3 linked regions of the Callithrix jacchus genome follow. The protein of the gene in region 2 purifies or fractionates together with the protein of the main gene of each other region. This does not show direct contact. Links are inferred from orthologs where the notes say so. Each region holds a gene or a part of one and is shown on either strand. Other genes may lie near its edges.

What was found.
Region 1: the proteins of CD84 (region 2) and SH2D1B purify together in Homo sapiens (affinity purification with western blotting; 3 studies listed by BioGRID and IntAct, with this or other methods). This does not show direct contact. The link is inferred for Callithrix jacchus from reciprocal best matches to the Homo sapiens genes CD84 and SH2D1B.
Region 3: the proteins of CD84 (region 2) and SH2D1A purify together in Homo sapiens (affinity purification with western blotting; 4 studies listed by BioGRID and IntAct, with this or other methods). This does not show direct contact. The link is inferred for Callithrix jacchus from reciprocal best matches to the Homo sapiens genes CD84 and SH2D1A.

What each region holds. Positions count from the first base shown.
Region 1 is NC_133519.1:39,150,853-39,155,098, forward strand, and holds the start of SH2D1B (SH2 domain-containing protein 1B), read left to right. Parts: upstream 1-1,379; 5' UTR 1,380-1,499; coding exon 1,500-1,633; intron 1,634-4,246. UniProt on the Homo sapiens protein: Cytoplasmic adapter regulating receptors of the signaling lymphocytic activation molecule (SLAM) family such as CD84, SLAMF1, LY9 and CD244. In SLAM signaling seems to cooperate with SH2D1A/SAP.
Region 2 is NC_133519.1:20,498,542-20,502,786, forward strand, and holds the start of CD84 (SLAM family member 5), read right to left. Parts: upstream 2,924-4,245; 5' UTR 2,870-2,923; coding exon 2,824-2,869; intron 1-2,823. UniProt on the Homo sapiens protein: Self-ligand receptor of the signaling lymphocytic activation molecule (SLAM) family.
Region 3 is NC_133524.1:120,100,343-120,104,455, forward strand, and holds the start of SH2D1A (SH2 domain-containing protein 1A), read left to right. Parts: upstream 1-1,260; 5' UTR 1,261-1,348; coding exon 1,349-1,485; intron 1,486-4,113.

The sequences.
Region 1 (4,246 bases), about 19 Mb from region 2:
AAGGCATTGTCAAACTCTCTTTTACTATAGTTGTAACTATTTTGTATCCTAACCAAGATACAAGATGTTCTATTTTCTTTCACCATCACCAATCCAGTAAGTTTTCACATTTTTGATTTTTTTCACCAATATGATAGGTGAGAGATGTTCTCTCAGCATGGATTTAATTTATATTTCTTTTACTCTGAGGATTGAATTTTGAAACAGGAAAAAGGTCCAGCAAGCCCCTGTGATAACCAAGAGCCTGAGCATACTTTCAGTTATTTTCTCTTTTATGTCAAAAACATCTTCACACGATGATTGTGAATGTATTCCCAATAATTACCGAATTTCTTCTTTCATCATTAATAACTCTGTCTTCAACTGCCATAGTTCCCAGGGAAATATAATAATGAATTGTCCAAAACCACAGAAGAAAAGTTGGTATTTGAGAGCAGCTCTCTCTGATAACAAGTTCCTTGATCCGTGAAACTACGCTATGCCAAACAGCAAAGAGTGGGAATTCCAAGGAAGAACAAAGACCGTTACAAGGAAGTTTCCTGAAAGATACACCCCAAGTGTGAGTAAACAGCTGGTAAGCAAAGTAGCAATGTGAAATACACATCTGGGTTAAGAAGAAGTTAAGATTCCAGGTATCTACAGAGATGAAGAAAAAGAAAAAGAAGAAGTGAAATAAAGATACGTCACGAACTCATCTTTTCTATTTTAGTTTCATTTTCATGGATTCATTTTTGAGATATATAGTGATTTCCTGTGGATATTTGAGTATACCAGTTAACCCTCCCACCTGCACCAGCCCTTTCTCCAAAAGGTACAATGCTTGAGGGTGTTAAAAATGGCGCTTTTTTTTGCCAGTTGCTAGGAGCCTTAGTCATGGAATGGGCTGTCCTCATCCACAGTGTCCCACTGTTTTCTATTCCCATTAATATCTTCCATTTTTGGTGTCATTTGATCCATGGAAATGCCACCGTTTCAATTTTCCCACTGTATCTGAGCATATCAATTCTCTCAGCATCCCAATGCTTTTTGAGCACCCAGTCTACGCTAAGCATAGCCCAATCCTATGCAACTTCAGCAGAGAATGGGTACCATTACTGCAAAAGCGATGCTGTGCTTCCTGCACAGGATGCCAGTAGCCAGAGAAGGTGATGATAGTACATGGTAATATACAGGCTGCAACGCAGTTCCAGAGAGCTTGACTTCAGCGTTGTCTCCCTAGCGATGAGCTTCACTGATTCCACTGTGTATTTAAATGTGCTTTACCCCTTTCTGTGAGTCACATGTGGGCCACATAGAGGATAAAATGTGTTGGTCATTTTATCACCCCGCCCTTCTCATTTCCTGAATCTCATGAAGCTGGTTGAGTCTCACAGATCACTAGAGACAGAGCTATTTCCACAGGAGGCACAACTGCTTCCACATCCCTCCTCAGAGCTGTCCCTTGGCTTGGGGGTGAATTTCAGGCCAACAGGGCTGCCTGGGATACAAGAGCGTTCTCCATGGATCTTCCTTACTACCACGGCCCTCTGACCAAGCGAGACTGTGAAACCTTGCTGCTCAAGGAAGGGGTGGATGGCAACTTTCTGTTAAGAGACAGCGAGTCGATACCAGGAGTCCTGTGCCTCTGTGTCTCGTGAGTAGCCTCATCTTGCACACATGTGACATCGTACATTGAATGCGGCAAAGGCACAGTAAAGGAATACATATCCCTCAGTGTTTCACTCTGATGTTGCAGTCAAAATGCATAAAGTGAGAAATAATGAGCAGTGCCAGGAGAGGCATGTGTCTGTCCGTGCTCCCCCATCTGCCTTGCTCTCCCTGGTGTAAAGGCCTGCAAGCAGACTCTGCAGCAGCAGGAGGGATATGGTGGTGGTGAAGGGAAGGGCTGAAGAAGAGGGGTACGGGGGGATGGAGAGAAGGTACTGTTCTCCAGAGATCTGTTTATTTGGTATGGAAAAGGCTAGGGGTTTTAAAAGAAATTTCAATCTGAAAGACTACTTATTCTGCAGTATCCACTTGCAATACTTAAACTATAAATCCTAATAATATTTCACATTTTGTTAGATTTGTAAAGGACTTCAATATTCGTCATTTTCTTTCATTCTTGTAGTCTATCAAGGTAAGCATAAGCAGTCACCATTTCATAGGTAAAGAAACAGAGACCTTGGTTTCTCAAATAATTTGTGTTAAAACTAATTTGGAATTTCCAGAGTCTAAGTTAAATATGAAATTCCAGGCTGGGTGTCATGGCTCATGCCTGTAGTCCCTGCACTTTGGGAGGCTGAGGCAGGGGGATCACTTGAGGTCAGGAGTTCGAGACTAGCCTGGCCAACACGGTGAAACCCCATCTCTACCAAAAATACAAAAATTAACTTGGTGTGGTGGCGTGTGCCTGTAATACTGGCTACTTGAGAGGCCAAGGCAGGAGAATCTCTTGAACCCAGGAGACAGAGGCTGCAGTGAGCCAAGATTGCACCACTGCACTCTGGCCTGGGCAACAGAGTAAGACCCTGCCTCAAAAAAAGAAAAAAGAAATTCCAGGCTACAATATCAAAGAGACCCAGTGGAAGGAACTTGCTTATGCCCAGTTTAGAAAGCAATCCTAAACAGAAATCTGAACAGATATCACTAGAAACCTCCTATCTTGATGTATTTTCCTCTTTGTAAAGTAGGGGCCACTGAACCTGTTATTATACCTGTAACAGAAAGTGAAACCCCGGTGTCTCTTGTTAAAGAAAAAAATTACTCTATGTCATTTGTTAAATCATGGTTGGGAAGACTTTACTCAGGATCATCACAATAGGTATAGGGACCACTGCAAGGAGCTCTTAGTGCAGAGGAAAGATTGGACTCAACTCTGAGTACAGCACGGACAAGTGGGAATTTATGGCCAAGGAGTAGTGTGGGATCAGTGGCTAGAAAATTACTCAGAGGAAACATCAGGGGTAAAGGGGATTCTGGCTAAGCCAGCCTAACAGAATTGTAGCTGAAGACAGACCAGGGTGATCAGTTGTTGCCTGGGGGATGGTGGAGGAGGAGGAATCTCATCAGAACCTGACAGTGATCAGATAGCTAGGGCGAGGTGTCCTTGCCAAACTGACTTAGTAGGGTTCTTTGCTAAAACTGGATTTTACAAGGAAGTACACAAATGGGCCATGGAGTAGGCTCAGAAGTCTGATTACAGACAAAAGTGATTGTCCTTACTAATAGAATACATTGGGACACACTTCTTTCTGTAAATGATACTGGAGAGACAGGCTATCTCTCTTATACCTACATCCACAGTACCATTTAAAGAAAAATATATGTTGGCTAGGAGCGGTGGCTAACGCCTATAATCCTAGCACTTTGGGAGGCTGAGGTGGGCAGATCACTGAGGTCAGGAGCTCAAGACCAGCCTGGCCAACATAATAAAACCTTCATCTCTACTAAAAATACAAAGATTAGCTGGGCATGGTGGGGGTATCTGTATCACAGCTACTCAGGAGGCTGAGGCACGAGAATCGCTTGAACCTGGGAGGCAGAGGATGCAGTGAGCTGAGATGGCACCACTGCTATCCAGCCTGGGAGACAGAGAGACTTTCCGTCTCAAAATAAAATAAATAAGCAAATAAATAAAGAGTGGGTAAGATCTGGTTACATAGAAATGGGATGGAAGGTGCTTTAGGAAGGGGAGGAGGTAGGAACAGTGGTCTAGAAGTTGGATACTTTAAAGTATGTACATACAGGGTTCCTAAAATGTCATTTGGAAACCAGCTTTTGGAGAAGGAGGATGGGATAAGATCAGGTAGTTTTAAAAGAGTGGTTCTAAAGCTAATGGGGAAACATGGATGGTTTTTGAGCGGAGAAGTGACAAGACTAGTGAATTTAGAAACTTAAATCTGACATGAAGAACACAGTGAAGCTGGAAAATGATGGCAATAGAAACTGTTGTGCCTCTGGATGGGAGATGGTGAAGAGCTAGCTGTGATGGTGCAAGCAGCGAAAAGGGAAAAAAGAAGGTGCAAGGACAGACTGGCCAGGATCTCAGGGTATACGGTCAATATTGGGATTCTCCCTCCTTCCCTCCCTCCCTCCCTCCCTCCCTCCCTCCCTCCCTCCCTCCCTCCCTCCCTCCCTTCCTTCCTTCCTTCCTTTTTTTTTCTTTCTTTTGTTCTTTCTTTCTTTCTTTCATTCTTTCTTTCTTTCTCTCTTTTCTTTAGACAGGGTCTCACCCCAACTCCCAGGCTGGAGTGCATAATCATGG
Region 2 (4,245 bases):
CTTTTATCTGTATATTTCACCTTTGACTCTCTGTGTATGAATGCTTCCTTTCCGTGAAGGAAGTTTAAATTCTACTTCCTTCAGTTTTTGTTAAATGACCTTTGAGACTCTGTGAATCAATGCTTTCGTCTGTATATGCACATATTAATAGTACGTATCTATAGTGTGTAGTAAAGATTAAACAAAATAATAACTGTAGACTACTTAGAGTAATGCCAAATATGCAGTGATTGCTCCATAAATGGTTATTTATTAGTTTTATTGATGGGAGATAAGATAGAAAATTGAAGAAACAGAAATAAGAACGGGGCAGAGAAAAGGAAGAATTAAGAGTATGAGACAGAATATGCAGAGGGGATGGGCAAGGATTAAAACCTGTGAACTGCTCCATCTCCTACCCCCAGAGTGGGAGTGTCTCCTAGGATATGTGGAGAGACAGTCAGAGTCATGATGTTTCCAAAGTCATGATTAGAAAGTTCAGATCAGAGCATAAGACTGTGAATTTTGACTCAGAAAACTTTTCCAACGTGGAACAGTCATGAGTCTGCACACTCAGACTTTCCTTATGTCGGCGATTTCTGGGGGAAAATGGGGATTTCTCCCTGCATCTCTCCACTGCTTCTCAGCCTCTTCAACTGCTCTGAATTCCAGGAAAATGCATCAAATGTAGACTCCTAAGCCTAATACTGAATATAAAGGGCTACCTCTAACAGGAGCAGCAGCAGGAGGAATTCAGGGTATATTTTTGTGCTGAGAAAAGGTTTGCAGAATAATCCTTAACAGGCAAACAGATAATTCGGTAAAAGTGGGCAGTGTGTAAAAAGTATTCCTGGCTTTACTTTTATTAAAAAACAAAACAAAAACAAAAACAAACAAAGAAAACTCCCATTCCGTCTTTCATGGATCCTCGATTAAATGGATATCTCTTTCCTAGTCTCCTTTTCCAGAATCCCAACAACCAACACCTAAGCTCCAACTCCCACCACCTTTTCTCCTGTTGATGTTCCTTGGACCATTCCCAGACAGAGGAGTCCTGCCTAGGATCTCCGTGCAGTAAAGCCATGGCTCTTCCTAAGAATGCATGAAAAGTGAGTGTGAAAAACAGCAGCACTAGCTAGTATCTGTTAAACGATATATTCAGCTACTATACCAAGTGTTGTTCATGCATTATCATCATTTTGATTCGCAAAACAATTCTATTACATTAATACCTTCCCCATTTTGACGCTGAAACAAAAGTCAAAGGAGAAATACAACTTCCTCAGGGTCACAAAACTCATAAACAAAAGAATTCACTACTAGTTGATTTGACAATTTATTTCAGTTTCAGTAGATGAAAGAAGTATATCCAAGAGCTACCTTTTATCTTAGCAGGTATTAACCTTTTGCATCAAGAATTTGAAAACGATGAGTGAGGAGGTCAAGTGGAGCAGAAAGAATAACCAGTGAGATTGGGATTAACTTTAAGATTAGAAAAACCGATGTCTATTTCCACCTCTACCAATTTAGGTATTGAAATTTCAGGTGAGCCAGGCGCGGTGGCTCAAGCCTGTAATCCCAGCACTTTGGGAGGCCAAGGCAGGTGGATCACGAGGTCAAGAGATCGAGACCATCCTGGTCAACATGGTGAAACCCCGTCTCTACTAAAAATACAAAAAATTAGCTGGGCATGGTAGCGCATGCCTGTAATCCCAGCTACTCAGGAGGCTGAGGCAGGAGAATTGCCTGAACCCAGGAGGCGGAGGTTGTGGTGAGCCGAGATCACGCCATTGCACTCCAGCCTGGGTAACAAGAGTGAGACTCCGTCTCAAAAAAAAAAAAAAAAAGAAATTTCAGGTGAATTTTTTAACCTCTAAATCTTACTTTATTTTTCTTGCATAATGTAATTAATAATATCTATCTATCTTTCCCATCTCAATGGTTTTCATATGGATAACATAAGAATGTAGGCATAAATATTGTAAAATGTTTTGAAAATTAAGTGGTATCAAATGCCACCTTGTCTAGTCTCTCTCTGGAAGATTAAGGACATTCCCAGTACCAACTTTTCCTCACCTAGTTGCATTTTCTGTTTGCCATTCTCGAGCAGCCAGTAGAGGCTCCAAAAATTTGATCTGATCTTTTAATGTTACACAGTTTTCTTTGTACCAATAACAATCAATATTCATGTTGTTCTTTTAGTTTACCGTTATGCCATAAGTAAGAGAAATAGGGTTTTTGATTCAAGTTTTCCAACTTTTTGAGACTATTTGTGTAAAATGGGATAGTAATCTCTTCCTCATTTATTTTAGAGTTTCTGAAGGATAAAAGCAGTGTAATGTCTCTAACTGTGTTTTGAAAATAAAGGGAGTTTATAGAGAGGAGGCCTACACAAGGATAACAATGAGTCAAGCATCACTCTAACCTGATGGATCAATCAACTATAATTAGGAAAGACATTTTCTGCCTCAAAAACCACCACAGTTGAATGCCAAGAAGAAATGGCTTTTAAGTCATTCAAGCTTTTAGATGATCTTTCCTTTGCTAGGCTTTATGGGTGGGTTTACCAAGTTCTGGCTCCTCTGAGAAGGATTTGCCTCAGACCTTTGGAAACTGAGATCTCCAAAACCAGACAAAATTCAGAAATATAGACTTTAAAGCTGAAAACCACTTAGGTTTGGATTTTAAGTCTCTCCCCAGCCAGTTGGATCCTGCTGAGTACAGTAAATACTGAGACTCAGCAGTTCTGTTAAAAACATCAAAAGAACAGTTCAGTCTTTCTTAAGGGAAAGTTTTAAAACTTTATGGAAAACTAGGAGGGGATCAGCAAGGGTCAGAACTCACAGGTTTGCAGGCAAAGGAGCAAGATCCATACGTGGTGTTGAGCCATCTCTCTTGGGGTCTAATCTTCTGTGGAAAAGCACGGCACTGTTCTAGCAGAGTCAGTTTCACTCGAATTTTTGTCCTCCTTTTTATAGCTAAGTTGAAGAAAGGAAGTGCAACTAACTTCCTTTAGTTAACATTGGTGTTGTATTACTGTGCTAGTTTTTTCTAATTTAAAGGGCCTAACATTAATTATTTCTTCAACAAATATCTATTGTGTGCCTACTATGTGCCAGACACTCTTCTGGGTGCTGGCAATATACAGAGCAACAAAGCAATTGATCGCCCTCTTTTCATGGATTTTTTTACTCCTTTTTGGAGTAATCAACAACTAAACAAGCAATTTCAATATAACGCAGTAAGTGTTGTAAGAGGGAAAATACAGGGAACTCTGAGAACAGTAGGGGCGTCTATCTCAGGCTAAGAAAAGTTGGAGTAGACTTTCTGAAGAAATTGACAACCAAGCTGAGGCAAGCCTGAAGAATGAATTACTATTATTAGGCAAATGGTGGCGGGGGATGTGAAAGAGAAAAAAATATATGATTATGTATTATAATATCTAATCATATTATTTTTAACACAATAAATTATATATTAATTATATCATAATTATATACCATTTAATATTTAATATAATCAATTATATATTAATTATATATTATTAATTATATTAAGTCAAAGGTCAAAGGGAAGGTGGAAGAGACATAATACTGAGTTATATTAAGTATTATGTTAATAATATATAATTATATTTATACACAATATAATAATATATAATTATGTAGTATATTAATACATAACATAGTATAACTATATGCATATAATTATGTATGATTCCATGATATCATCATGAAACATGATTATGATCACACCTTATTAGGGACACAAAAAGCATTTGATAAAAATTAAAGCTGAAAGGGATTTTTAGACTATCAAATCTATTCTGCAGAAGGAGAAACTGGCTCAGAAGGAGAGGAAGTGATTTTTCTCTATTTCACTCAGTGAATTAGTAAACTGAGGTAAAAGGCAGCAAGTGTCACTTGGAAAAGACCATGACTCCTGGGCATGAGAGACAGCAGGTGCAGAGGCATGCTTAGGTGGAGTTGAGCTAGATTTAACAGGACCTTTTCTTGTGGAGGGTCCTCATCCTGGTTAGTGGGAATAAGAGTGATTGTGTAATGTGTGTATGGGAGAGGTTGTCTGGGAATGGTGATGTAAATGGATATTTGGACCCAGAAGCTAAGCAATGTGACCCAGCTGTTTTGGGGAGTGCTGGGAAGGCTGGGGACCCTACCCCTGAGACCTGGAGGATGTGTAAAGCTTTTCCAACTGAGAGGAGTCCTCATGTCAGATAGCTTATTCCTAGGAAACCTGGGCCTCTAG
Region 3 (4,113 bases), on a different chromosome or scaffold from region 2:
AGCTCTGTACCTGCAATCCATTGGTAAGACATGTGAGGAATTAAGTATTGCTCTCCCTATTGAGCTCCCAGCATTGCCATATTCTCAAAGAACTACACGCTGAAGTTGCAGAAAGCATATAATAGATCACATAGCTTCAGTTATTTTAATTCCAATTTTACAAGTACTTTGCATAATCTAAAGGTACATGTATAAGACCATTCAGCTTCAGCAATAAATTCTTACTCTAGTGAAAATGCAAGAAGTTTTGGGGAAATATTACCTAGCACATTTTGAAATAGAAGCAATGCTTTATTTCAGAGAAGAAAATGGAGGTTGAAAGGTTTTAAAATATTAAAGACAGTTTAGCATCAATCGAAGAAATAACATTGTTTAGAAACAACAGACAATAAAAGTTACAACAAAATTATCAACGCTTGCAAATGATTTAAAACAGATTTTTTGGACAAAATGCTGAAAGGTGGGCCTTATACACCAAAGGGCACATACAAATTTGCATTAAGACAAATCACCAGTTAAATGTTACATTGTCTCATCTAAAGCCCATCAAATACTTAAATCTGGAACATCTTTGGATGTGCATTGTGACTTTTGTATCTCAACTAGCACTTTGGGACCTTGGACAAGGTGTTAGGAAAGAAATCAATATTGGTCAGGACCAAGACTTCTCAAGATGACTGCATGAGGTAGAAGGAAGAAGGAGAAAAAGAACTTGCCCAAAGTTCACTGTTCATCTGCTATGTCTGATTCTGTAGGAGTCTTCATGGCCGTGTTCAGTAATGATTGCATAATGACAGTACTAATAAAACTATTAGTGTTTTGTTCTCAGAGCTTTTGGTCCTTTCATTCTGTCAGTATGTTTCTGCCCTACATGATGGGTCCACATACCGACAGAGACATGTATAACTTGCCTCTATCATCAACTCCTTACCGGCTGGTTGAGCTAAGTTATTCCTTGTGGCCTCTGAGTAATCTGCAAGAACAGAAGCATTACTAAGCATCCCTATCTGCGTGCAAGGGTGTGTGTTGGCAGTACAGCTCAAATCTTGCAAAATCCTTCTTCTAATTTTCCTCCCCTCTGTAAGAACCCTGTGTTGGGGGGCAGGAGATGGAAGCCCTTGGCAAGCTCGATTAAACCAAGCTACTAAATTGCTGAGCTGGTTTTAATTGAAGTGTGAGAAGGAGGTTTAAGGCAAGTAGACAACATCCTGTTGTTTGGGTGCCTCTCTCTTTTTTGCACATCTGGCTGAACTGGGAGTCAGGTGGTTGATCTGTGCCTGGCTGCAGTAGCAGCGGCATCTCCCTTGTACAATCCTCCTCCTCGGCCTGCCCGAGAGTCCACCAGGCCATGGATGCAGTGGCTGTGTATCACGGGAAAATCAGCAGGGAGACCGGCGAGAAGCTCCTGCTCGCCACTGGGCTGGATGGCAGCTATTTGCTGAGGGACAGCGAGAGCGTGCCAGGCGTGTACTGCCTGTGTGTGCTGTGAGTATTCTGTGGCAGGCAGGGGCCTGCTGAGCATGTGGATGGTGGGCACTGGCAGCTGAGGCCAGGGCAGAGGCTGAGGCGGGCAAGGGTGCTGGCGTTAGCAGCTTGCTGAGGCCTTCTTCATGACCCACCCTCAAGTCTAGTCCAGGGCCGTGAGGGAACACACTTTCGCCTGAGTCCCTCGCTGGGGATTTCATTCCCTGGGCCTCCTGCTCTCCAGAAGGCCCTCACCAGGGGCTTTTGGGGCAGCTGCAGAGAATGCCCTTTAGGGTGGTGAAATATGGTCTAAAGTTTACCTTTGCTCCAAGAAAGACCCAGGCTCCCAACTTCCATTTTAACTCCTATCGGGTGGCTCCGTACTCTAGCTCTCTTTAAATGACTTTTGAAGTGTCATCCCAAAGAAAGAGCATGACATTCAGAGAGAGGAGGCAGATTAAGAAACAGTCAATTACTTTAAGAATGCAATGCCAGTTAGGTCAAGATGCTGAGAGAGGAGGGGGATGTGTGAAAGTAAAATCATCTCTCTGGATCTGCTGATGTAGCATTCTTTAGAAAGGTAGTGTCTGTGAGGGGTGGGGCAGGGGATTTCAGAAATAGGATCCTTCTTGATAAACATTAGGACTCACAGTAGTCTTAAAGGGAATGGAGGGAAAACACCCTTGTTATGATTCAGCTTTGCCCTTTGCCTAGGCATGTCTCAGTCTAAGGCTTCATTTTGAATCAAATTCACCTGTGTCGTTGCTCCAGTGCTCCAGAGTCAGGCAGATCTGAGATGTAGTCCTGCGCTAGTCAGATGTTAGTCTTGTGACCTGGGCAAATTAACCTTTCAGTCCCCCAGTTTTCTTATCCATTGAATAATACTAAAGATATATTATTATTATTATATCTCCTCTTTTCAGTTGATTTCTTTTAGGAATCATGGGGGCATTTCTAAGGAAGTACCTAGCTAGCTCAAGCATTATTGTCAGCGGAATAAAAAAATCCATGAAAACAACAACCCTGCATAGTAGGTTCTAGACAGAAACCAAATGAGGTTAAATGCTTGGTAGTAAGTTCAGCATCTGATGATACACTACAAGAGTTTGAAATACCTTATGGGTCAGTGAAGAAAGATGATCCCGATGCTGGTGTTAGAGGATTTTCACTGTATATTGGTTATTAAAAATGGTCAAGCCTTGTTTGTTGCAGCTCTCCTATCATGCTCTAAATACATTTTTCATAAAGGCTTCAAGGGAAATACGTGGAAGCTATTGATTGTCTTGGGCTTGAATCTTTATGTTTTGCTTATATCATTATTGTTTCCATGTGGAACCTAGGGAAGGGCAAAGAAAACCAGCTGGGATTCTTAGGCTCTTTTCTCATTGAAAGAAGGTGCAGTGGGCAGGTGAAAGGTACTGCTTTAGGGAAGCTGACAAAGGAGATAACATGCTCCTTAACCCAAAGGTGAAAAAGAAAGTACAAAACAAGTCTGGGCAGAGGAGGGACAACAGGGTATAGTGAGAGTCAAGATACACCTAAGGCTTCAGCCTCACTGGGCTCCTGGCCATTTCTCAAGCTCCTAAAAAATGCCCCCACTTAGGATTTCTGCACTTATTGTTCACATGTTTGTTCAACTGTCTCCTCCCTCAGAGAGGACTTGCTTGACCACTACCTAGAACAACTGCTCTCTCCCTGTCCCTGATACACTCGCTCCATCTCTACTTTTCTTCAAAGAGCTTTAAACTATCTGATAACTTGCTTACTTACCTACTTATTGCTGGACGCTCCTGCAAAAATATAATCTCCATGAGGGTAGAGACATTGTCTCCATCACCAGGAACACAGAAACACATAATAGGCACTCAGCAAATATTTTTGAATCAACACACTGTCAAGGCAAATTCTGTTCTTTACTGTAAGAAACTGAATGGACATCGATGGGTTAGGGTGTGGACTCTGGGAAAGTCACTCAAATTCTCTGGGTCTCACTTTCCATATTTATAAAACAGGAATAGTATTGTGTATCTTACCTTCTGCAAAAGATTGCCTTCAGTACAATATATAAGACAGAAGGACAACTTTAGCCTTTTGCCTGTGTAGGCCAGAACCACATAAGGAATTAACTTAGGCAGATGAGAAATTCTCAAGCATTTAACTTTTTGCCCAAAGTGAATCTTGCATAAATGCAGTTTTTATGACCCTTAGTTCTCCATGAAAACCTCCCTGTAAAGTAGCAGAAAATACTGGGCAAATTGGGAGTTCCCTTATGGTGTCTTTCAAATGGTACACTGGGGCCTCAAAGTCTTATGAGACTGTTAGAGTGATAGCCAGAATGTGCTGCAGAGGGAAGATACAAGGATACATTGCCTTTTATCAGAGTTTCTCAAGGTTTTTGAATTGAGAGTCCTTTTTGATAAACATAAACATTTCATTTCCTCTTTTTGGTGCTACACTGTAATGATAAAATCAAATTTTGTTTAGAAATAAACCATGTACTAATTTTAAAACAAAACACTTTTGCTTATGATATGCAGTCAAAATAACAATAGAAGTGGTGTCATATGCACATAGACAACAAGGTATAGCTGATAAACATGCATTGATTGTAGGGTTTACTCAGAGTAGTTTCTCATTCTTTTGTGTACT